6 linked regions of the Oryctolagus cuniculus genome follow. The protein of the gene in region 2 binds, or shares a complex with, the protein of the main gene of each other region. Links are inferred from orthologs where the notes say so. Each region holds a gene or a part of one and is shown on either strand. Other genes may lie near its edges.

Region 1 (3,500 bases), on a different chromosome or scaffold from region 2:
TTACTGGCAACCGCTGGGAGGAAGCCCCTGGCATCTGACCTGACGGAGAAGCACGGAGAGGGGAGGCTGCACAGGGACTGGAGACACCGCGTCCCCTCCCACAGGGGCTCTTTTCCATGATTCCGGCTGCAAGAAACTGGCCCGCTGGGACGGCGCCATGGCTCGTCACCCTGGCAGTGCCCGTGCAGGCTCCTCGTGCTCACATTAGGGGGCACGCCCAGGCTGGACGCCAGCACCCAGTGTCCAGGCCCAGTATGAATGGGGCGCCTCCCGGCCCTGGAACTCCTTTCCCTGTGGCCTCTGGGTGTGTCCCCACCTCGCCTCCACCCTGTCATGCCTCCTATAAATCCTTCGCTACTTCCTGCTCCCCGACCCCACCAGCCCCCAGCTCCCCAGAGTGCGGCTGCAAATAAGCTGATACCACTTGGCCTCCACGAGAGCTGCAGCCACAGGGAGCTGGGCCCCTCAGGCTCGTCACACCCCGGGGAAAGACACGCGCTTGCAGCTCTGTGTTGTGTGGGACTTCAGGGGCCAGGCAGCGGAGCGACTCCTCACATCGGACATTCTCCACACCAATCGGGTGCAGTGGTGGTGGAGGGAAGGGTGTCTCCTGTGCCCAGGCCCAGCTCAGCCCCGGCCAGAATTCTGCAGGGGTAACACAGGCCAGAGCTCGCCTCTACCCCAGACCACGGCAGGCACCAGGAACACCTTTGATGGGGTGATGGAGGGATAGCGCTCCCAGCTGCTTCCCTGTGGCCAGCACATGGCTTCCTCCAGGGTCCTCTGAGGCAGCACCACACTGGGTTCCAGGGCCAGCTTCTGCCTGGCTCCCCTTGCTCACCCAAAGCCTCTGAGCAGGGCCATGCTGTCCCCCTGCTCACCAGCAAAGACAGACAACCACCGGGAAAAGACAAAGGATCCTAAAGTTCCAGCGGCCTCTTCCGGCAGTGGGACCCTAACGGCAGGAACCAAGTCATCAACATCTCGTTGTCTCCCCCGCTCCTGGGTTCTCCTGGCTCCTCACTTCTGAACAGGAGGAAGGGAGGTCCCCACCCAGAACCCACAGGGCAGCACACGTGCCTTGACACCAGTGCTCCAGGGAGTCACGTGGCCCCTCACTTCTGGAAGGAGCCACTGCCTGTTCCAGGGTTCCTGGCCCCCTTCCCAGTAACTGATGGGGTGGGAAGGCTGACGTCAGTGCCAAGGGGAGGGAGGGGAACGCAGTGAGGGAGAGGGAAGGCCACTCACTCAGGGCCTCTAATCGTGCTGGCTCCAGGCTAGGCCCTGACACACATTCATGACTACAGTCCTCTCAGCGGCCAAACAAGGAAGAAAGAAGCTCAGAGAGAGAGAGAGAGAGAGCTGGGCCCCAAACCCAGGCCTCTCGACTTCAAAGCCACTGGGCCACACAGCCTCCTTCGTATCATCTGCAAATGGAGCAGGGGAGGCAGAGGCTCATGGGTCAGGAGGCAGGTGCAGGTCACAGGTCAAGGAGCAGCCACCGTCAAGTCTGGGCTTTTGAAGGATGGTGCCCCGGGCTGGGGTCAGCCCACAGGGCAGCTCGGCGGGAAGGGTGGCTTCTCTGGGCCGGAAGCACCCCGGGGGGAAAAGGTTCGCAGCTGGGGGCGCTCACCTGCCACCTCCACGATCTGGTGCCGGGCGATGTCGTAGTAGGGGTCATCCCACTTCAGGTGTGTGACGGGTTCTGGGGAGCTGCTCTTGGAGTCATCTGGGGAACACGGCAAAGTCAGGATGATCTGGGGGGCTGCTCCCATGTGCTCTCCGAGATACTCGCTCTTTGGCCCTCCCCCTGGTAAGACTTGCGCCCCAGCTCGACCCCAGCCCCGGGCCGGTCTGCTTGCCCCCATCCTGCCTTGCAGGGTCTCCCTTCAGCAGTGTGGGGGTCTCCCCTGCTAAACTGCCCACCGCTGCCCGAGATGCGGCACTGCCCACCTGACTTGGGAAAGTCGGGCATCTCATCCGAGGGCCAGTTCTTCTCGTCGATGGAGGCCAGCTTCAGCTGGTTCAGCGCCTGGCTCGAGTCGTCCAGGATCAGGTCATAGTCTTGCAGCTCTGACAGCGGATCCATGGCCAAGCCTGTCGCCCTGCAGAAGCCGAGGGGCACCCTGCGAGGGGAGGCATGGCGGCGGGCCAGGGTCAGCGACCTCTGGAGTTATCTTTCGCAGCATCTACGGTGAGCACCCTGCCCTCCCCCACCCTCCCCCAAGCTCCCTGGTCCCTGTCCCTCAGCCCCTGTCATCCTGCCAAGAACTCCAGGGAGTGAGATGCCAGGAAAGGCAGCTGGAGCGGAGGGCAGCACGGCTCGGCCTCCCCCTTCAGGTCCTCCTGCTGTGCCAGGTCCCACGCCGCCTGACCCCTGGCTGGCCTGGTCAGGCAGACCCAGCTGCAGAGGCCGGAGGTCGGCGCCCCCCTCTCCGGAGGCCCAGAGCATAGACTTGCAGGCCCCAGCAGTTACAGCGCTGCACCCCACGCCTGAAACAGGTCAGCTGAGGCCCTGGCCGCTCCAACCCTCCCCTGGCTAGAGACCACAGGTCCCAGAAAAAAGGCCTGCCTCAGGGGCCCCACTGGGTTTGCCCTGGGATGGGAGCCAGCAGGAGGGACGGAACCTGCCTGCCAGTCAACAGCAGACAATCCGCAGGCTTCTAGGGGCTTCCAGGCCATGCTGAACCCGCCGGGGAGCACCCGGCACTAGTGTCAAGGTGGAAAAGACTGCTCCAAGGACACGGAGGGCAAGGGGGCGCTCACGACACCTGGGGTGCTGAGAAGAGAGGCCACAGCAGGGAGCAAGGGTTTCCCAGGCCTAGATGTGGCCGCCAGGAGGAGGAAGCCTGCAGCAGAGCGGGGCAGGCACCTCCGGCCTGCAGCCCCAAGGAAGGAAGGGAAGCAACTCCCTTTCCTGCCACAAGCTCACCACCCGGGTGGCGAGGGGGGCTTTAATTCAACCCATTTGGTCCAACCCCAGGGAAGAGGTTGCTGTACGCCCAGCCGCATTCCTGGAGCCCAAAAAAATGACATATATGGTCAGAGAGTGAGCAAGGCAGATAAGGAGAGCAGACAAGGCCCGGGGGTGGGTAGGAGGAAGAGGGGGAGAAGTGCCATCCGAGAGCCACAGATCCGGGCTCTGACGCGACGTGCCAGCCTCCCGCACGCTTCACAGCCACGGGCTCTGCACTGCAAACCGGCTCCCTGTGCCTAGCAACCACCACCCTGTTGCCAGGGTGACCACACGGATTCAGTGGCAAAAGCTGTTTCAAGCTCCCCAGCCAAAGCCAAGCAGCCATACTACCAAAACACTCGTCCTCCACTCCTCCGCCTCCTCTGGCCGAGCCACCACTCTGGTCCCCATCCCTGCTCACCACCAGAATACACGTCCCTTCTGGAGCCCGCACAGCAGGACGACCCTGCCCCATCAGGAATGCCCTTCCCAAGGCCGGTACTACTGTGCCCCTCGCCCATGAAGCCCAGCTCCAGCCACCCCA
Region 2 (3,500 bases):
TTGGGTACAAACCACATGACCTAAGATATCTACTCCGCCGAGATGCCTCATTTATAAATAGATCATTTAGTCCTTTAAAAAACTCTATCTACTAATTTTGGTTATACTAAGTTTGTGAAAATGAGAGGTAATGGTGCTAATGGGAAAAGAGCCAAAACTAATTTATGGGCTCCTTTGAAAAATTTTAATTGAAAAACAATGCTTTCACATACAAATGTAGCTGTTGATTTACAGCAAAGTTTTTAAATTTAAAATCAAAATTAAGGACTGGTGTTCTGGCAGAGCGAGTTAAGCCCAGTCTGCAAGTCCAGCATCCACATGAGCACTGATTCAAGTCCTGGCCTGCTTCACTTCTGATCCAGTTTCCTGCTAACGCACCTGGGAAAGAAGCAGAAAATGGCCCAACTGTTTGAAAACCCTGCCACCCACACTGGAGACTCCTGGTATCCATCTGGCCCAGCCCTGGCTATTATGGCCATTTGGGGAGTGAACCAGCACATGGAAGATCTATCTCTAATTCTGCTTTCAAACAAATTAATAAATCCTTTTTAAAAAGAAATAAAATTTAAATTAATTAATTAAAAAAAATTTTAAGGCGCTGGCGCTGTGGCATAGTGGGTAAAGATGCTGCCTGCAGTGCCAGCATCCCATATGGGCGCCAGTTCGAGTCCCAGCTATTCCACTTCCGATCCAGCTCTCTGTTGTGGCCTGGGAAAGCAGTGGAAGATGGCCCAAGTCCTTGAGCCTCTGCACCCAGGTGGGAGATCTGAAGAAGCTCCTGGCTCCCAGCTTTGGATCAGCATAGTTCCAGCCATTGTGGCCAACTGGGGAGTGACCCAGCGGATGGAAGACCTTCCCCCCACCCCTTGCTCTCTCTGCCTCTCCTTCTCTGTGTTAACTCTTTCAAGTGAATGGATAAATCTTTTAAAAAAATTTTTTTAAGAAAAGCAATGCTTTTTAATCAGGAGGATGTTATATATTGAAAGCAGCCTCACTTAATCTTCTGGCTATGTAATATAATTTTCTGGTTCCCATTATACTGAGTTGTTTAGAAGATCAATTAAGTTAGATGTAAAGGAAAGCGGAAACAAGGGCAAGAGGGAGATGGTAAGGAAGTCAGAAAACTATAAAGGTTATTTCATTTAAGACACACTTAAGATACTCAAATAGCCCTTCTTTAAAGGGTTATTTACATACAAGGCTGGGCTAACAAACAGAAACCCTGCCTTTCATTCTAGACTCTACCTACACCAGTGTGTTTGATTACTTAGACTTCTAAGTCTCATCCCTAAATTGGCCTGAATTTCCTAACCCAGAAGAGATGGATAAGATGGTACGTATGATCCCTTCTAGCTCTGAATTTCTATCAGTCTAAAAGTGGCAGCTCCCAGCTCATAAATGGATACAAATAAGCACCACAATCTCATAACAACTTATATAAACAATGAGAACATTTTTTGTGCTTTATTGTCATTGATTTACCTAAATAGGCTCAGTTTAAATTTTATCCCACCACTACTCTTCCTCCCACTCTACCCCTTTTCTGGAGATCCACATACAAACACAAATATGAAGCACCCACAAGTCCACCTTAAATATCACCAAATAATCAGTCATAAAATAAGACTCTGAATAACGCTGAGTAAATACCTTCATGGAGACTGAAATACAAAATCCTGACAGTTGTCCTTATTTGAAACAAGACCCATACATCTCTAAAAGTCCCTTGCAACTTTAAAAGGTCTTCCATTTATACTGTCCTCATATGGAACAGTTCAAAAATAAGACTTTTGAGTTTAATTATACTTTCCAATTCTCTTCCTCAAAGAAATTTTGTCTTCTCTTCTCCTATTTCCTTGGCCTAACTCACTACCTGCCCTGGAACTTTATAGAGCCTATCAATCCCAACAGAATGCAATCACCAAACCTTAAACCTGTATTTACCTTCCTAATAACGCTCAAGTCTCTGAACATTAACCTCAAGTACCCAATCATTTTCTCCCTTTTCACTTCCAAAGAATACCAGTTGCACATTAATTACATACGAGTCTTTCAAAACATTTAAACCTGCCAGAGGTGGAGGCCAAGACAGGCTAACTCCAACTGGCCTCTACTCATTCAAGGAACAAGTATGTTTAACACAATTATACCATTGGATGGGTCAAGCAATTTGGGACAAACACTAGATTCCCAAATAATCTTTCACAGATAGGTGTTACTCTAAGTAACTCATCTATCACTTCAGTATCTTCATTATCCCTCCCTCTATCCTTCAGGGGAGCTGATAATAAAGTAACTGTCAGGGAAGATTCCCAAAGTTTTCTGTTGGTATTCTCGCAACAAAACAGGTCTTCTCTAGGAACCAGCGTGATGCTCCATTGCTGCTCAGAGAACAGCTCTACAGAGATTATTTTCTTTGAAATTACAGAACCCCAAATGCATCCCAGGAGACCTTCAAGTGCTGGTCATTTATTGGCCAAGATATCAAAAGAAATCTCATTCCAAGACATAGGGCATATGTCTCTAAACTGACACCACCACTGGTCAGAATCCTGTCTATGGAGTTTGCCTCCCAAAATTTCTTGCAAACCCTTATATCACCCCTTCCAACTTTCCACTGATTTTTCTGCTAATTTTAAAGTGTATATAATTTACTCATGAGAAGTTAAGCTCTTTAAAAATAGGAAACAAGGTAGACAACAGAAAAATTTCAGCAGAGAAAGCATTGTCAAAAGGTATCAAATTATAATACATTTCATTAACAGATGGAAGCCTTTATACTCACAGTCGGCACATACTCAGATGGAAATTTGTTTGTTGTGTAGGAAATCAGGAGACATGTTTTACCAACAGCACCATCGCCCACAACAACGCACTTAATCGTCTGCATTGCTGAAATAGTTTTGTATCCACTTTAAGTATTCAAACTTGATGATGACCTAGAAAAAGATTTAAATATTTGTTTTATTTATACTTACATATTTTTTCCCTCAAATGGCAAAAATCTCTTCACAGAAAGAACAGAGCTAGCACAACTACCACGACTGAAGGACTCTAAAGGGGGAAATAATGACTTACTCAAAGTCATAGTAACAACAGTCGATTTTCTAAGTTTCTGATCCTGGATTGCTTCAATTTCTCTCTCTCTCTCTTTAAGAAGCAGGAGAGACAGAGCACCTAACATTCGTTGACTTCCTAAATGCACATAACATCCAGGGCTGGAGTTGGGCCAGTCCAAAGCTGTGAGCCAGGTACTTAATCTAGGTCTCCCAAGTGGGTGGTAAGAATCCAAATACTTGAGTTATCACCTGCCGCCTCCCAAGGTGAACATTAGCAGGAAGCTAGAATAAGGAGCAGAGCCAAGATTCAAACCCAGGCACTCCAATATAGTATGTGACTATCTTAACTGCTAGGCGAAATGCCTGCTCCCATATTTTTTTTCAGACTCAAAGAAAAGGGCTGTATCCGAAAGAATCCTATGTAATATGCCAATTATTGTG
Region 3 (3,500 bases), on a different chromosome or scaffold from region 2:
GACAGACTGGGCTTCCCTCGTGCCTTTTCTAATCAGCAAGGCACTAGAGAGAAGTTTCATCACAATCTGAGCCCAGGAAGTTACTTATTGAGAAAATTTGGTTATCTTTGTTGACTTCTAAGAATAGTGGCATTCCAATGATAGGTATTTGTTGCTTGTATTTCTGGTGCCACTATCCTGATCCAAGAAGCAGGTCCAGAGATAATCTCACAGAAGAAATACGCTGGGTTTGACATGGAACAAAGTCACCGTGAAGAGGTATGGATGAGGTAAGATGGTGTGAGCGCCTGCATCTTTGTTGACTCTTCCTGCATCATAGCTTTGTTCCAACATGGAATTGCTCATAACTACACTTGGGCATGACACTCAGAGCGAACACATATGACCAGCTCAGCGTGGGGTGCTGTGGGGCCATGGATTGCCAATATCAGCATACAGACTTCTAAACAATGCCAGGGTTAAGTTTACATTGTGAATTCCATTCCATTACATTATGGACTGCACATGACAGCTAAGAAAGGCCCAATTTATAGCTATGCATAATTCAAAGTTCTTTCTGAGAATCATTTTGCAGTTTCAGAACACTCTGAGGTAACTGGGTATTTTTGTTTTTAAAGGGGGGAGGGGCTACTGTAATATCCATAAACCTAGTAGAGCACAGCAAAAGTGCTCAGCAAATGTTAGCCATGATAGTTACTGTTAGTAATGACACTATCCCTTTGTATTCAAACATTTAAGTCCAAAAATCTTACAATCTCCTTGGTCCCAATCCTGATTTTCAAGGAAGTTCTCTGTTTACCATTTTTCTGCAAATTTCTTCAAGCAATTCTATTAATTCAACTGTCAGCCATGCCCAGACTGTCACAGCAATGTGGATTGCATGTAAGTACTGAAAGTGGCAGTGAGTGAGCAGTAATAATTGAAATGCAAAACCATGCAGCATGAGGACAACACAAAATACAACATGATGGAGATGGTAATTCCATGCTACACATTGATTGGCCCTGACAGACACACAGAGAGGGACATAAGTTGTCAAAATAAATAAATAAATAAATAAACAAAAAACCTGTAGCAACCTTTTAAGAGCATCAGGTGAGAAAGAGTAATAGTTTAGTAATGGTATTCCTCAGTGAGAACAGGTTCGCAGAAAAACCGAGAGCCACGCTTGGCGGTGCGAGCAGTAAAGGGCACAGTCTTCAGCACTGCATTGAGAATGACAGCCAAACAACACAGACAAAGAGAGGAGAAAGCCAAGATCCATCACATTAGTTCATGGTTAGTGCTTTGTTAATCATACCTGGGGACGGAGGTGGGGAGAGGGTGGGCAGGAAACGGGGAACATGAGGTACACTCCAGTTAGTTCATGGAAGTCTTTAAGAGTTTTTCAACCTGGGGCTTAGGAGCAGAGCAGAAAATGGAATGCATTCCAAGGAGAATAAAAACTGCTCGAGAGGGAGATACGCATCACCTCCTCTGGTAGATCAATCGCTTAGGTCAGGGACATAGAAAATGGACGTTGCATTCCTTACATAAAGCCAGGTGTCTTTGGGATGGAGACACATCCGGGTTAAACAGAACACCAAGTCCTTCGTTACAACATTGCATGCTTCCCTACCTACAAGTTCATCTTACTGTGGTGCTGAGACTAACCAGTGCTTACCTAGAGAGGAGATCTGTTCCTGGTCTCGTTCAGAGTAGGCTTTCTCTCTCAGTGTGGAGGAGGCAAGGACACATGCTCAACAATGGGGGCTTTAATTTGAAGGCCTCTGCAGGCCACTCAGAGTAGGCACACCTACGCCGAATGCACGTGCGCTGTGCGTAGAGAATGGCATCTCCATCGGCCACTGCCCTTTCAGACCTTATACTACTTCAATCTGAACCATTATTGACTCTTTAAAAAAAAATCCATAACTATCTTATCTGGCTTATCTGTGTCTAATTTCTCTATTTAATTCCCCTGGGTCTGAGTTGGTGAAAAAAATGTGTGGGTTTCACAGTTTGAGATCCCAATTTTCAGTGTTGGCTAAGCTATAATAAGAAATGAAAAAACATGACCAGGAATTAGGTTTTCTAAGAAATTAGGACAACTGGGAAAATGTGAATACTGACTAGATATCTGATATTAAGAACTTGTCAGTTTGGGTGGTAAGTAGAAAGGCCAATGCGGGGGCTGACGCTGTGGCACAGCAGGTAAAGCCACCACCTGCAGTGCCAGCATCCCATATGAGCGCCAGTTCAAGTCCTGGCTGCTCTACTTCCGATCCAGCTCTCTGCTGTGGCCTGGGAAAGCAGTACAAGATGGCCCAAGTCCTTGGGCCCCTGTGCCCGCGTGGGAGACCCAGAAGAAGCTCTGGGCTACTGGCTTTGGATCGGTGCAGCTCCTGCTGTTACAGCCAATTGAGGAGTGAACCAGCAGATGGAAGACCTCTCTCTCTGCCTCTCCTTCTCTCTCTGTGTAACTCTTTCAAATAAATCTTGAAAAAAAAAAGGGGGGGGGGGGAGGGTACTGTGGGTATGTTTTTATTTTTCTAGGGCCCCTATTTTTGGAAGACATTAAAGCAAAATATTTCCAAGTAGAATATGTATTGGATGTGCTTCAAAATAATCCCAAGGTACATGGGATTCTCTTCACTATGCTTTTGTCTATTTTTGAATTTTCCTATAATAAAAAGCTTATAAGTGTCTTAGACGCTGATACACAGCATTCATGTGCAACAGACATGAAAAAGTCACTTTGTGCCACTGCTACCAGACAATAGCCCAAATTATCATGGTGATCTGTAAGACAAAGTACAGCAACCCAGAAGAATTGGTTCAAACAGGAAACATGAGGCTAGAAGAACCACCCTGGGTTACACATGGTTCCTAGCTGGCAAAACAGCTAGTCACTAGCCCTGGGCTAGAAGCCCACTGGATCATCCATAGTAAAGTACCAGGCCCTGACTTCCTTTTGAGTTCAGGGACTCTGAATTAGAATAAGGAGGCTTCTAACTGGCATGCTGGGGAGAGCCTGCATGAATGGTAGTTAATACGAAGCTGAGTGGTCTTAGCTACATTTATGTATCAGGCAGGTGGGTAGGGGTGGCCATGAGGAACATGGAGATGATAAAATTGAAAATAATGGAAAACCATTAGGAGAAGCAGCACTGCTGAAACCTATAGGGTTCCAATGATACTGAGATATAGATCTTTCAGAGAGTGTGTTGGGCCAATACCGATGCTGCTATAATGTACTTCAACCCCTAGCATGGAGTCTCTGGGTATAATTCTAGATCTGAACGAAGTTGCCAACCCCTGGGCAAAAGACACTGCAAAATCTGCCTAGAGCCCAGTCCGCGTGAGGCTAGTGGGATCTCCACGTGCCACGGTATGGAGACATACTTTACCTGTGATAATGTCTTCAATGGCACCATCTTTTCCCTCATAAACATGTCTGTTATCTTTCACTTGCCGCCGCCTTAACTCTGCGATCAGTTCTTGCTGCTGCCTCTTTGACT
Region 4 (4,105 bases), on a different chromosome or scaffold from region 2:
CAACCGGCACCTTGGCTCAACCTGCTCTTTCTCCCCACCCCCATTTTAAGCTTGGGGCACCCCTCTCTCTTCAGCCTGCTTGGAAAGGTGCCCCCCCGTCCTTGCATGGGAGAAAGGCTCCCTGTACCGCCTGTCTGGCTGTGGGCTTGAGAGGCGGACCACTCGCCCTCCACTGCCAGGAAGGGAGGAGGAGTTGGGGGCTGGGATCCGACTCCCCACCAGTACTAAGCTTAAGGAAAAGGAAAAAGCTCCCCAAGGCCACTCAAGGACAGCTCTGTGCTTTGCCCACAGTCTGGGGGACCCTGAGGGTGGTTTCTTTGACATTGACTAAGGATGGGGACCAAGCTCTGGCCCCAGGGGGTGTGATGACCAGGGGGCGCCCCACCCTGCAACACCCCTGCCAGACCTGTGGGTCAGCCAAAGCTCTAGCCTTGGACAGCTCCCATCAGAGGTCAAGGCTATTGCTTGGGGGGGGGGCTATCTCTTGCTGCTGGGGAGTCATAGGAGCCCAGTTCTTACTTGAGTGACCTGAGGTTGGATCTGCCCTGCCCACAATGGGCTGACGCTCCCCAGGAAGAAGGTGTGAGCACAGGGGGTGCCTGGGGACCAGGGGAAGTGGGGTGTGAACCCCTGATTTCTACCAGCAGGACTGCCCCAGATTTCCACCACCCACTGTCCACGCAGACACCCAGTAAGGCCCACTTCTGCCTCCTTCCACGCCCGAACCTCAGGGACTCCCAGGGGCATTTTGTGTTACAGCCACAAACCAGGGCAGGGCAATCCAGTCCCCCACACGCATCAGAGCTCACCATTTGACTTTTGGATTTTCCACTGCTCTGAATTATTCACAGGGCTCCTCCCCATCGTGTGCAAACCAGAACAGACAGGGGGGCCTGGACGTCACCAAGGGCAGCCCCACCCCCATCCATGAAAAGACGCTAGAGGGGGCCAAGACGGATCGGTGGGGGTCCAGACACACCCTGGTTCTTCCCCTTCCCTGTCTGCTCAGCTCAGCTCTGCCAAGCCCTGGGTCTGGGAGGAGGGAAGTGGGGGCAGGTGGGACGGTGGGGAAGTCGGGGAAGTGGTGTGTCCCTGGGAGCTCCCACCCACCCAGCCAAGCCAGGCACCCGCAGCTCCCACTCCGCCCAGGGTGCTCCGGATGGCTCTTCCTGCTCTCCTGGGAGAAGGCAGCAGCCAAGATTTTCAGGAACTGCTGGGAGGCTCTCCTCTGGGGCCATGAAGAGTGGACCTGGCAAGTGTGGCCCGACGGCCAGCCAGGGGACGGGAGGGAAACGGTGTCTGGGAGGTAGGAAGCCGCCCTGGGCCCGCACCTGCCTCAGCCCGGCAGGGCCAGCCTGCTCAGAGGACGAGCAGGGCCTTATTTGCTGTCACCACTGTCCAGCAAGGGAGCCTTGACGGTGGACAGGCCACCAGGGAGCCGGGGACAGGGCTGGGCTGGGAGGCGGAAGTGGGACTAAGTGGCTCTCCCCTCCCCTACTTCTGCCTCCTGCCAGTCTTGGGGTCCCCTGCCTCTGCTCCGAGCTCCCTGCAGCACCAAGCAAGCACACTTTGACTGCAACCGGCCTCAGCCTGAGCTGGTGGACCCCTCCCCTCCTACAGACCCCCAGACAGTGGTGGTGGAGGTAGGGGGGCTTCCAGATTTTTGCTTCAATCCCAAGCCAAAGTGACCAAAGCATCCTGACCCTGCCCTTCCTGACCGTACTCCACGGACGCCTGGGGAGGGGCGCCCAAGACCCGACCCACCTCTGGCCGCCACCTGCGAAGCGCTGTGGGACACACAGACCCACCCGCTGCCCGGCCTCCCAGCCGCCCAGGCCCCGCACGATTCTTGGCTAAACACCTTCGCTAGGTCTCTGGTTCCCATGAGGCTAAAGCAGAACCCGTCCCAGCTTCCACGCTTCGGATGGAGCGAGCCCAAGGGCGGATGCTCCGGACCCGCGCCCGGCGGCCGGGCCTGCGCGCAATGGGAAGGGGGCGCCGCGCCCCCGCACCTAGACTGCTCCAGCTCCCAACTTGCTCGCGGGACGGTCCGTGAAAGACCTTCAGACCGGGAGCGCGTGAGCGAGGTGGGGCAGGGGCTCTGCGGGGGGAAGGCTGGGCTGCCGCAGAAGAAAGTTTTGGGGGAAGCGTGCTAAGTCACTCTGAAAAAAGCCACTGTCGCTGCCACCCCCGGAGGGGTCCCGCCGGGCCAGGCTCTCCAAGCGGTACCTGAGCCCCCGGGGGCGGGGATGCGAGCCCAGCCCCTGCGGCCCCCCGCCCGCCCCCGCGCACCGGCAGCACTCACCAGCGCCCGGGTAAACCTCTCCTCCAGCTCCCCTGCCGCGGGCATCGGCTGCTTGGGGGCCACGGGCTGCTTGGGGGGCGGCGTGGCGGGGCTCGCGGGCTGCTCCGCACTGCCGGCCGCGTTGCCCATGGTGGTCCCCACCCAGTCGGCCAGTCGCCTCCAACCTCGGAAATCCAGCTTTCCGGGGGATGGGACTAGGCTCCCGATCCGGAGGGCGAGGGGGCAGCGGCAGGCGGCGGCGGGGCTCGGCTCGGCTCCGCTCGGCGGGCGCTCGGCTCAGCGGCGCGCAGGAGCCGGGGCGCGGCGTCCCATCGGGGCGGCCCGGTCCGAGGGAGCCAGGCGGCGCGCTGCAGGGTGGGGGAGGAAGTCAGGCTGCAGGCCGCGGGGCCAGAGGGCCGGGCCGGGGGCAGGAAGCTGCGGCGCGGGCTCCCCCCTCGGCGATGTTCGAACTTCTGCTGTCGCTCCCCGTGCGCCGCCGCCGCCGCTGCGTGCCCGGCCGCAGCGGGGCGGGCTGGAGGGAGGGGGCGGGCGCCGGGTGGCGGCCGGGGGTCCACCGCGGCCATGGCGCGGCGGGGAGGGGGCGGCCGGCCCGCTTCACCTGCCGCAGAGGGGGCGGCCGGCGCCACTTCACCTGCCGGAGCGGGAGGAGACCGAAGCGAGGCCAAGGCGGCGGCGCGCGCGGCGGCGCCTCCGGGTCCTAGAACCGCAGTTCCCTCTCCGCCGGGGGCGGGGGTGCGGCTGGGTCTGGATGAAAGGGGTCGCACCACGGGGGCGCACGGGGAGAGCAGGGGGCACACCTCCGAGGTAGGCTTCTCAGCTGTGGCGAGCGCGACTTAGACTCCGTGGCGGTGCGGCGCTGGGGCGCAGGGCTGCAGGGCTCCGTCCCCCTCTCAGGTCCCCGCATGGAGAGTGGGAACCCCCTTCCAGGCCCCCCACGTCTCGTGTCCGCTCGGTTTCGCCAGCTTGGAGAGCGCTAAGGACCAGAGGGAACCATCTGCAAGCGGGAGCCCCAAAACAGGGTGGGAGGGGCGCGGATCCAGGCCAAAGGAGACCCCTGCCACCTGTCCCACTGCAGCGTCTGTGCGTCCAGCCGGCATCCGGGAGGGGGGTGCTGGTTGGGGATGGGGCACCCCTAGGGAAGAGCAGGCAGCCAGTAGCTGGGTAGCCAGGGCAGCGCCAGGGAGCAGCGAGGACCGGGGCCCGCGGCCAGGGCCGGCCAGGCTGGTCAAGGAGCAGGGGGCAGAGGAGGAAAAGGACTCTCCTGGACGCTTTCCTGCAGAGACCCGGGGTGGCCGCCGGCCTGGGGTTAACAGTGTCTGGTGCCTGCTGCTTCCAGGGCTCTGCCCGCCTTCCCTGATGACCACTCGGCCGGTAGGTGTTGCTGACCCTCTACCAGAGATGGGAAACTGAGGGACTTGCTCAAGGGCACGCAGCTAGTCAAGGGCAGAGACAGGCCCTCCCCAGTCACCTCCCGAGTCTACTCTGCCTTCTCTTCTGGGATCTGGGGAGGGAGGGCATCTGAGGGTCGGCGTGGAGCCCCAGACCTGGGGCCCAGTGTCCAGCCTGGATGTGAGACTCTTCCCGTGGCTCCTTCTGTTCCCCACTGAATTAGTGGGGACGCCCAGTGAGAGCCTCGGCATAGCACCGGTGGGGTGGGGGCTGACCAGGGGGCCGCGAAGGAGCCCAGAACCTGCTCAGGGCAAGGCGGGGGCCCAGGTGTTCTCACCACTTATGGCTCCCCCCACTCTGCCTTCTGGGACGTTAAGGACCTGAGACCTGATCTCGAGGAAGCCCTGGCAG
Region 5 (2,522 bases), on a different chromosome or scaffold from region 2:
GCACTAGGGTGACTAGTGCAGTGACTGGGGTGACTAGCACTAGGGTGACTAGTGCAGTGACTGGGGTAACTAGCACTAGGGTGACTAGTGCAGTGACTGAGATAACTAGCACTAGGGTGACTAGTACAGTGACTGAGATAACTAGCACTAGGGTGACTAGTGCAGTGACTGGGGTGACTAGCACTAGGGTGACTAGTGCAGTGACTGGGGTAACTAGCACTAGGGTGACTAGTGCAGTGACTGAGATAACTAGCACTAGGGTGACTAGTGCAGTGACTGGGGTGACTAGCACTAGGTGACTAGTGCAGTGACTGGGGTAACTAGCACTAGGGTACCTAGTGCAGTGACTGGGGTGACCAGCACTAGGTGACCAGTGCAGTGACCGGGTACCGGGCACAGCGACAGGACAACCAGCACAGTGCCCGGGCAGTGTCTGCCTGCTCTGCCCCATCAGGAATCTTGTGCCCATGAAATGATTTGGGTTTAAGATAAAAGCCAAATCCATGTCATCAAGCAATGTTTATTTTACGTAAAACAATTTGCAGAGAATACACTTTGGAGCCATCTAGACACCGATTTCATAGCGTCACAGCTGAAGTGCTGAGCTGAGCTGTGGGGGCGGGGCGGGGCCGGGCGCACGGCAGGGGTCGTCCCGGGCCCTGGCCCGCCCAGTAGTGCTTTCCCCTCCAGGAACGGACCGCGTACAGCGCAGGCTTCAGCACGGACAGGGGACAGGGTGATCGTCACCTTCAATCACTCGGGAAACCCCATTTTGAATTGCACAAAATTTCTCTTTAAAATCAGTAATTCCCAGAAGACAGGGCTTAGAACTGTCTAATAATTCATTCAAATCATCAGGTTTCTATTTCCCCACGGCTGAGAAAAACAAGAAATCCAGGAAGCGTCCCGGGGCTCAGGAGGGCGCTCGGACCGCTCACAGCGCCGGGTGACACGGGGCCCGGTCAGCGCATCTCCTGCTGACAGCAGCCACGGTGTCGCCACGGCACCGCCGGCGCCCCACACCCACCAGCTCCACGTCTCACTCCAGCGTGGCACGGATTTGGCAAGAAGGCACATGGGTACGTTTTCCAGGACAGTTTTGGTCTTTGAAAAAAAAAATCACACGTTTCTAAGCAGTGATTCTGATCGTGTTTAAAAAAAATACTCAACGCATCCCTTCCGCGGTGAGGCCCGGTGCGAGGCGCGGCCGCCTCACTTCCCGTAGAACTTCTTGTTGAGCAGGTAGATGAGCAGGTTCACGTTCACCTTGACCTTGTCGAACATCTTCATCACGGCCACGCCCTCATACTGCATCTCGAGCAGGTCCTGGAAGGGAGGGGAGCAGCGTCCACACAGGCCGCGGTGAGCACGGGGCGCGGAGCCGCCCGTCACCCGTACGGCGTCTCCAGCTTCTCCGTGCGTGAGGACACGGCGCCGGGCGGGCACAGCCGCGGGAACCGCTGCGGAGGCGTCTGCAGCAGGGCAGAGCCAGGACGACCTCACACCGGCCGGCTGTGACGGCCCCGGGAGCCTCACCTGCCATGGGGCGGGGGGGGGGGGGGGGCGGGGGCTGGCAGAGCTCGCCGGACGCTGGGCCTGAATGCTAGACGCACACGCCTGCCACACAAGCCACACATCCTGCTGGGCGGGTGTGAGAGCCCCAGGAGGTGTGCGTCAGCCTCGGACACAGGACACCATGCTGGCCTGCAGGACACAGAATTCTCCACCGGGCACAACGCGGCCCTAGCGCTTTCTTCAGGTAGGAAGAGGACCAGGTAGGCAGGACCTGGAAGCACGGGACCCCCTTAGGCTCCCCACCCGTCTCCCACGGAAGTCCGGGCCGTCGTCCTCCTGGCTAACCGACCAGTCCGCGTGGAGGCACATGCTGCCTGGACACAGCCATCTGGCCTCTCTGAGGCTCCGGCTGCCAGCGACCCGGGGCCACGCTCAGAGGAGCCCTGCACGGTTTCAGGCTTTCAGATTCTTGTCCCAAAATCTGTAACAATTTTGAGGAGGGGCCCTACATTTGTATCTTGCGTGGTGCCTGCGAATCACAGAGCCCCCGGGGGTCCGTGGCCATCTGCCAACAGTCAGCTGTCATGGGAACAGATGGTGTTGTGTGAGTGGGTGACGGCAGGGGCCTCGGGTCTAAGCAGCCCGGACGGTGTCTGCCGGGGCCCAGCCGCCCCTGAGGGGTGTCCTGCAGGGTGTCTCACCCCCACAGCGACAGGAAGCACGGAGGACCCCCGCCAGCTGCCCTGTGTAGTCCCCCAAGGGCAGAAGGCAGCACGTGACTTCAGTATCCTCGGCGTGGCCACGGCCGCACTGTGTCTCAGCTTCCTCTCTGCACCCTATCTCTGCACCCTATCTCCGTGCCGTTATCAGGGCCTTTTCGGCCTGGTTTTCTGGCCTGAGCTTTCCCGGGCTGCTGGACAGAGAGGAAGGGCCCTGGCCTGCGTGGGCGGGTGGGGGAGGCAGGAGGCCAGGGCTGACGTCACTGCCCGGGCTCAGCGAAGTGACTG
Region 6 (4,193 bases), on a different chromosome or scaffold from region 2:
ATTCATCCCCTCCTCTCAGCCATCTATCTGCCACCTGTCTATGCACTTATTCATCCAGCCACACGTCCATGAACCTGCTCATCCATCCACATACCTACCCGTTTGCCCCTCCATTCACCCACTTATCCATCCAGAGACACAAAGCAGAATCAGCACTCACCCCCTTGGTCTCCACCTGGGTGTGAGGGCAAGGGTGGGAGCCCCCCTCTTCTCTCTGGATAGATGGAAAGGGGAAAGTGCTATCACCATCCTGCCACAGGTTCTTGGGCAGGGCCCCTTTTATTGCTACTTGTGCTAGAGGACTCACCTTCATTGGCTGGTGCTGGTGGTGGGGGTAGCTGCCGTCTGTCTGTTGGGGAGCCAAAATCATGATGGGGCTTTTGTAGTTTGCCACCTTTACATTCATCTCTGTGCAACCTCCTTATTACCCCCAAGGCCTCCTCACCTCCACTTTTCCTCTGATTCCTTTTTTGTATCTTCTCTTGCACCAGGGCCCGGAAGGCCTGGGCCTCACCCTCATCTGCAAAGTTCAGGCCCGCTTGGCAGTCCTGCACATGCCTCAGGGTCAGCAGCCTTCCAGGCCCCTCACACCTTTAGCACCCCCTCCCCATGCTCCCTACTGCTGCGCAGGGGTTGGTTGATCACTTACATCTCCGGCAAAGGTGTGGAAGAAGGGGGTGGGAGTGGAGTAGACCAGCTGTGAGTACAGCTCCTGTTCCCAGAGCAGCCGGCCAGCCTGGAGAGGTGCAGGATAGGGGACACACTGGCACGGAGGCACCCTCTGGGTGGGTGACAAGCTGTTATCTGGGCAGGGAGCGTGGTGTCTGGATTTGGGGCTCTGGAGTCTAATTTTGGAGATATTCAGCTCAGTATCAGAGGGAGTGGGGGCTGGGTGTCAGAATCGGAGGGTTGAGATATCGTCTGAGTATCAGACTCTGCGGTGGGAACTGGGTCGTGGTTTGGAAAACTTATGACTGCAAGACCCGGGAAATTGAGGCTCACACATAGACTCACTTGATCCTGCACTGCCCCAACTCCATGGAAGGTAGGCTTTTAGGATTTGGGAGTTGGGGTTGAGATTTGAGGTTCAGACATATAGACTTGGCAGTTGGGGGAGGAGTCCAGACAAAGTATGTGCATTTTAGGGTTTGTAGAGCAGACTTAGAGCTGTGGTGTTTGATCAATAGTTGATGGCTTTGGCATCTTGAAGTGATGGTAGGTCCATCTTTATGGATTTAGGAGGATGAATTTGGGTGTAAGCCTGGAAAGTTTGGGTTGGAGGTTGATAAGACAGGTCTGTTTTTTGCTGCAGCACTACCTCCTTATTTGGGTGTTCAGAAGTGTTAATGTGGAAATTCTGGGGTCCTTGCTGTGGGCTTAAAAAGACTGATTTGGGGGGCTGCGCTGTGGCATAGTAGGTAAAGCCACCACCTGCAGTGCCGGCATTCCATATGGGCGCCGGTTCGAGTCCCAGCTGCTCCATTTCTGATCCAGCTCTCTGCTATGGCCTGGGAAAGCAGTAAAAGATGCCCAAGTCCTTGGGCCCCTGCACCCACATGGGAGACCCAGAGGAGGCTCCTGGCTTTGGATCAGTGCAGCTCCGGCCATTGCTGCCAATTGGGGAGTGAACCAGCAGGTGGAAGACCTCTCTCTCTCTCTCTCTCTCTCTCCTTCTCTGTGTAACTCTGACTTAAATTAATAAATAAATAAAGACTGATTTGGAGTTTGAGAAGTTCAAGACTCAATGAAATCTTCAGGTTCTGGGTCTGAGCAACAACAGGCTTATGACTTAGGAGCTGGGCAAACATCTGGGGCTCAGGAGTTTTGATGGAGGATTTCCTAAGATGCAACATGTCAAGCTGGGAACAGATTTGAGGTACAGGCATAAATCAAATGGTCAGTTTTTAGAATTTGTAGACCCAATTGGGCCTGGGAGGTGGTCTAATATTTGGGGGTTGAGATACCATGATATGGAGACTCTGGGGTCAGTCATTGTGAAGTCAAAAAGGCAAACCAGAGTTTGAGACCTGGGGGAGGGAGCCTTAGTTCTAGGGTTCAGGGATTTGCTCATCTGGTCCCAGGGCTCAGAGCTATGTATGGGCAAAGGTCTGGCTTTGCAGGTTGAGGTCGGGTTTGCCTATCCATTGAGGGGAGGGTCACCTGAAGGCCGTAAAGGCGGATGAAGTAGGACTTCTGGGGGTTATCCTTCACGAAGCACACAGCCCCACAATGCTCCTTGGTCCAGTGCTCGGCTCCAGGGGGCAGCGCCAGGTACAGCTGAACAACTGCAGTGGCCAGCGTCTAGGAGGGAGAGCAGGGATCAGTGGGTCTGGTCTGGTCGTGGGGGGAGCCAGACCTGGGCCTTCCTGTGCCCCTGTCATGGGCCTGAAGGAAGAGTTGCAGCCCGAAGGAAGGTGAGGAGGCCTCGGGATCTTCCTGGGATGGGTGAGCAGTGGAAAAGTGGCTTCTAGGAGAGGGGCTGATGGGGAGGCAGAGGAGGAGGGGGAGATGGAGAGGGAGAGGCAAAGGGTGGGGAGGATGAGGAGGCAGGAGGGAGAGGAAGAAGAGGAAGGGAGGGCCGGGAGATCCCCAGCTCACCCAGCATTTTCGTCCAAGCATCTCGAAGAGTCGCTGGTTCTCGTGGTCCTGAAGCAGGGTGGAGGGAATGTTCTGCTTAACCTCAGGTGCTCCTCGACCCCCGGGCCTGCCTCCCACAGGGCCCCCACTCATGGTGCCTTCTGTCCTTGTCCTCTCCGCCTAGGCTCGGGGTGCAGGGTAAGAAGAGGAACTTCCGCAGTGAGCAAGGGAACAGGAAGTACAAAAAAACCACAAGAGAAACAAGTCCTCCAGGGGGCCTCTCAGTAGGCCTGGCCTCGTCCTCCCCACGGGCCCTCCTCTGTTGGACTGCTTAGACCCATCTTTTTTAACTAGCTCAGGTCCTTCTCCTTCAGTCTTATCCTCTGGGGCCCACCTCCTCCAACAAACTCAGAGCTTCCTCTCTCTGGCTGGCAGCAGGAGCTGAGCCATCTGCAGTACTTCTGCAGGGCTGGCTGGGGCGAGGAGGAGCCATCAGGCTGGGAATCCTCCCTCTGCCCCAAAACACCATAGACTCCGGGGCCCAGGTCCAAGACTTTTCCCTTTAATTCCATAGCAAGCCCCTGGGAGCCCACTCCTATCTTGAGCCACAGATATTGCCAACAGGGTACACACCCCTAGGTCACTTCCCTTACCCTTGTCTCCTGTAGCAACCAAATTATTTTCTGCCCATCAGCCCTTTTTTGTTTTTATTTTGTTTATTTATTTGAAAGGTAGAGTGACAGAGAGAGAGAAAGAGAGAGAGAATCTTCCATATGCTGGTTCACTCTCTAAATGGCTATAGCAGTGAGGGTAGGGCCAGGCCAGGAGCCCAGAACCCCATCTAGGTCTCCCACGTGGGTACAGGGGCCCAAGCACTTGGGTCGTCTGCTGCTGCCTTCCTAGGTGGATTAGCAGGGAGCTGGATCGGAAGTGGAGCAGCCAGAATTTGTACTGGTGCTCCCACATGGGCTCCCAGTGTCACAGCTTATGGCTTAACTCACTGCACCCCAGCGCCGTCCCTCAGCTCTTTATATATATATATATTTTTTAATTTTTAAAAATCATTTATTTATTTATTTGAAAGACAGGGATAGAGAAGGAGAGAAAGAGAGATATCTTCAATCTTCTGGTTCACTCCCCAAAATGCCGCAACGGCCGAAGCTGGGCCGATCTGAAGCCAGAGGCCTGTAGCTTCTTCCGGGTTGCCCACATGAGTGCTGGGGCCCAAGCACTTGGGCCATCTTCCACTGCTTTCCCAGGAGCATTAGCAGGGAGCTGGATCGGAAGCGGAGCAGTCAGGACTTGAACTGGCGCCCATATGGGAGGCCAGCACCACAAGTGGCAGCTTTACCTGCTATGCCACAGCACCGGGCCCCTTCGCTCAGCTCTTTATTAAAATAAAGGAACTTTATGGAGCCAGGGCTGTGGCGCAGCGGGTTAAAGCCCTGGCCTGAAGCACCGGCATCCCATATGGCTGCTGGTTCAAGTCCCAGCTGCTCCACTTCTGATCCAGCTCTCTGCTATGGCCTGGGAAAGCAGTACAAGATAGCCCAGTACTTGGGCCCCTCTACCTGTGTGGGAGACCTGGCAAAAGCTCCTGGCTCCTGGCTTCAGAT

Evidence for each region.
Region 1: the proteins of CDC42 (region 2) and ARHGAP1 are in contact, whole or in part, in a crystal structure (PDB 1GRN), measured with the Homo sapiens proteins. The link is inferred for Oryctolagus cuniculus from reciprocal best matches to the Homo sapiens genes CDC42 and ARHGAP1. Residues at the interface, in NP_001034891.1 of Homo sapiens: Asp11, Gly12, Ala13, Tyr32, Val33, Pro34, Val36, Phe37, Gly60, Gln61, Glu62, Asp63, Tyr64, Arg66, Leu67, Leu70, Ser88, Glu91, Asn92, Glu95, Lys96, Asn132; in NP_004299.1 of Homo sapiens: Glu278, Gly279, Phe281, Arg282, Arg283, Ser284, Ala285, Asn286, Thr287, Gln288, Asn309, Glu310, Val316, Lys319, Arg323, Asn385, Lys386, Met387, Asn391, Val394, Val395, Pro398, Asn399, Trp402, Ala403, Lys404, Ala406, Ala407, Thr409, Leu410.
Region 3: the proteins of CDC42 (region 2) and FMNL2 are in contact, whole or in part, in a crystal structure (PDB 4YC7), measured with the Homo sapiens proteins. The link is inferred for Oryctolagus cuniculus from reciprocal best matches to the Homo sapiens genes CDC42 and FMNL2. Residues at the interface, in NP_001034891.1 of Homo sapiens: Val36, Phe37, Asn39, Gln61, Glu62, Asp63, Tyr64, Asp65, Arg66, Leu67, Arg68, Pro69, Leu70, Pro73, Ser88, Glu91, Asn92, Lys94, Glu95, Lys96, Pro99, Glu100, Thr102, His103, His104, Pro106, Lys131, Asn132, Lys133; in NP_443137.2 of Homo sapiens: Ala41, Met42, Asn43, Leu44, Pro45, Lys48, Leu52, Tyr55, Lys59, Glu62, Leu63, Asp66, Gln67, Arg69, Phe70, Lys73, Tyr79, Arg108, Glu109, Ile112, Ser113, Leu114, Arg115, Thr116, Asn117, Ile119, Val122, Asp219, His222, Met226.
Region 4: the proteins of CDC42 (region 2) and FMNL1 are in contact, whole or in part, in a crystal structure (PDB 4YDH), measured with the Homo sapiens proteins. The link is inferred for Oryctolagus cuniculus from reciprocal best matches to the Homo sapiens genes CDC42 and FMNL1. Residues at the interface, in NP_001034891.1 of Homo sapiens: Val36, Phe37, Glu62, Asp63, Tyr64, Asp65, Arg66, Leu67, Arg68, Pro69, Leu70, Pro73, Lys94, Glu95, Lys96, Pro99, Glu100, His103, His104, Lys131, Asn132, Gln134; in NP_005883.3 of Homo sapiens: Cys45, Met46, Asn47, Leu48, Pro49, Lys52, Leu56, Tyr59, Lys63, Glu66, Leu67, Asp70, Gln71, Phe74, Tyr83, Arg122, Glu123, Glu125, Thr126, Ser127, Leu128, Arg129, Thr130, Asn131, His132, Ile133, Val136, His228, Met232, Arg235.
Region 5: the proteins of CDC42 (region 2) and IQGAP2 are in contact, whole or in part, in a crystal structure (PDB 5CJP), measured with the Homo sapiens proteins. The link is inferred for Oryctolagus cuniculus from reciprocal best matches to the Homo sapiens genes CDC42 and IQGAP2. Residues at the interface, in NP_001034891.1 of Homo sapiens: Gly12, Ala13, Ile21, Thr25, Asn26, Lys27, Phe28, Pro29, Ser30, Glu31, Tyr32, Val33, Pro34, Val36, Phe37, Asp38, Tyr40, Phe56, Tyr64, Leu70, Gln74, Gln116, Leu119, Asp122, Pro123, Ser124, Thr125, Glu127, Lys128, Lys131; in NP_006624.3 of Homo sapiens: Gln893, Thr894, Asn924, Tyr925, Ser927, Asn928, Gln929, Arg930, Glu931, Glu932, Arg976, Gly977, Asn979, Gln983, Asp1067, Leu1068, Leu1069, Pro1070, Tyr1071, Lys1191, Phe1192, Asn1193, Lys1196, Tyr1197, Leu1200, Val1201, Thr1202, Val1203, Ser1204, Lys1205.
Region 6: the proteins of CDC42 (region 2) and WAS are in contact, whole or in part, in an NMR structure (PDB 1CEE), measured with the Homo sapiens proteins. The link is inferred for Oryctolagus cuniculus from reciprocal best matches to the Homo sapiens genes CDC42 and WAS. Residues at the interface, in NP_001034891.1 of Homo sapiens: Gln2, Tyr23, Thr24, Thr25, Val36, Phe37, Asp38, Asn39, Tyr40, Ala41, Val42, Thr43, Val44, Met45, Ile46, Gly47, Tyr64, Arg66, Leu67, Leu70, Lys153, Lys166, Asp170, Glu171, Ile173, Leu174, Leu177, Glu178, Pro179; in NP_000368.1 of Homo sapiens: Lys230, Lys231, Lys232, Ile233, Ser234, Lys235, Asp237, Ile238, Gly239, Ala240, Pro241, Ser242, Gly243, Phe244, Lys245, His246, Val247, Ser248, His249, Val250, Trp252, Phe258, Leu263, Asp264, Leu267, Leu270, Phe271, Ala274, Gly275, Ile276.

The regions. Positions count from the first base shown.
Region 1 is NC_091432.1:19,236,916-19,240,415, reverse strand, and holds part of ARHGAP1 (rho GTPase-activating protein 1), read right to left. Parts: intron 2,127-3,500; 5' UTR 2,090-2,126; coding exon 1,954-2,089; intron 1,730-1,953; coding exon 1,634-1,729; intron 1-1,633. UniProt on the Homo sapiens protein: GTPase activator for the Rho, Rac and Cdc42 proteins, converting them to the putatively inactive GDP-bound state. Cdc42 seems to be the preferred substrate.
Region 2 is NC_091438.1:148,699,289-148,702,788, forward strand, and holds part of CDC42 (cell division control protein 42 homolog), read right to left. Parts: intron 3,344-3,500; exon of another isoform or gene 3,079-3,343; intron 2,940-3,078; 5' UTR 2,891-2,939; coding exon 2,786-2,890; intron 1-2,785. UniProt on the Homo sapiens protein: Plasma membrane-associated small GTPase which cycles between an active GTP-bound and an inactive GDP-bound state. In active state binds to a variety of effector proteins to regulate cellular responses. Involved in epithelial cell polarization processes.
Region 3 is NC_091434.1:89,233,057-89,236,556, forward strand, and holds part of FMNL2 (formin-like protein 2), read right to left. Parts: coding exon 3,390-3,500; intron 1,206-3,389; coding exon of another isoform or gene 1,114-1,205; exon of another isoform or gene 1,080-1,113; intron 1-1,079. UniProt on the Homo sapiens protein: Plays a role in the regulation of cell morphology and cytoskeletal organization. Required in the cortical actin filament dynamics.
Region 4 is NC_091448.1:18,420,434-18,424,538, reverse strand, and holds the start of FMNL1 (formin-like protein 1), read right to left. Parts: upstream 2,801-4,105; 5' UTR 2,435-2,800; coding exon 2,306-2,434; intron 1-2,305. UniProt on the Homo sapiens protein: May play a role in the control of cell motility and survival of macrophages. Plays a role in the regulation of cell morphology and cytoskeletal organization. Required in the cortical actin filament dynamics and cell shape.
Region 5 is NC_091445.1:1,169,375-1,171,896, reverse strand, and holds the end of IQGAP2 (ras GTPase-activating-like protein IQGAP2), read right to left. Parts: intron 1,327-2,522; coding exon 1,213-1,326; 3' UTR 501-1,212; downstream 1-500. UniProt on the Homo sapiens protein: Binds to activated CDC42 and RAC1 but does not seem to stimulate their GTPase activity. Associates with calmodulin.
Region 6 is NC_091453.1:33,872,043-33,876,235, reverse strand, and holds the start of WAS (actin nucleation-promoting factor WAS), read right to left. Parts: upstream 2,801-4,193; 5' UTR 2,731-2,800; coding exon 2,599-2,730; intron 2,302-2,598; coding exon 2,161-2,301; intron 737-2,160; coding exon 650-736; intron 549-649; coding exon 446-548; intron 350-445; coding exon 308-349; intron 215-307; coding exon 161-214; intron 1-160. UniProt on the Homo sapiens protein: Effector protein for Rho-type GTPases that regulates actin filament reorganization via its interaction with the Arp2/3 complex. Important for efficient actin polymerization. Possible regulator of lymphocyte and platelet function.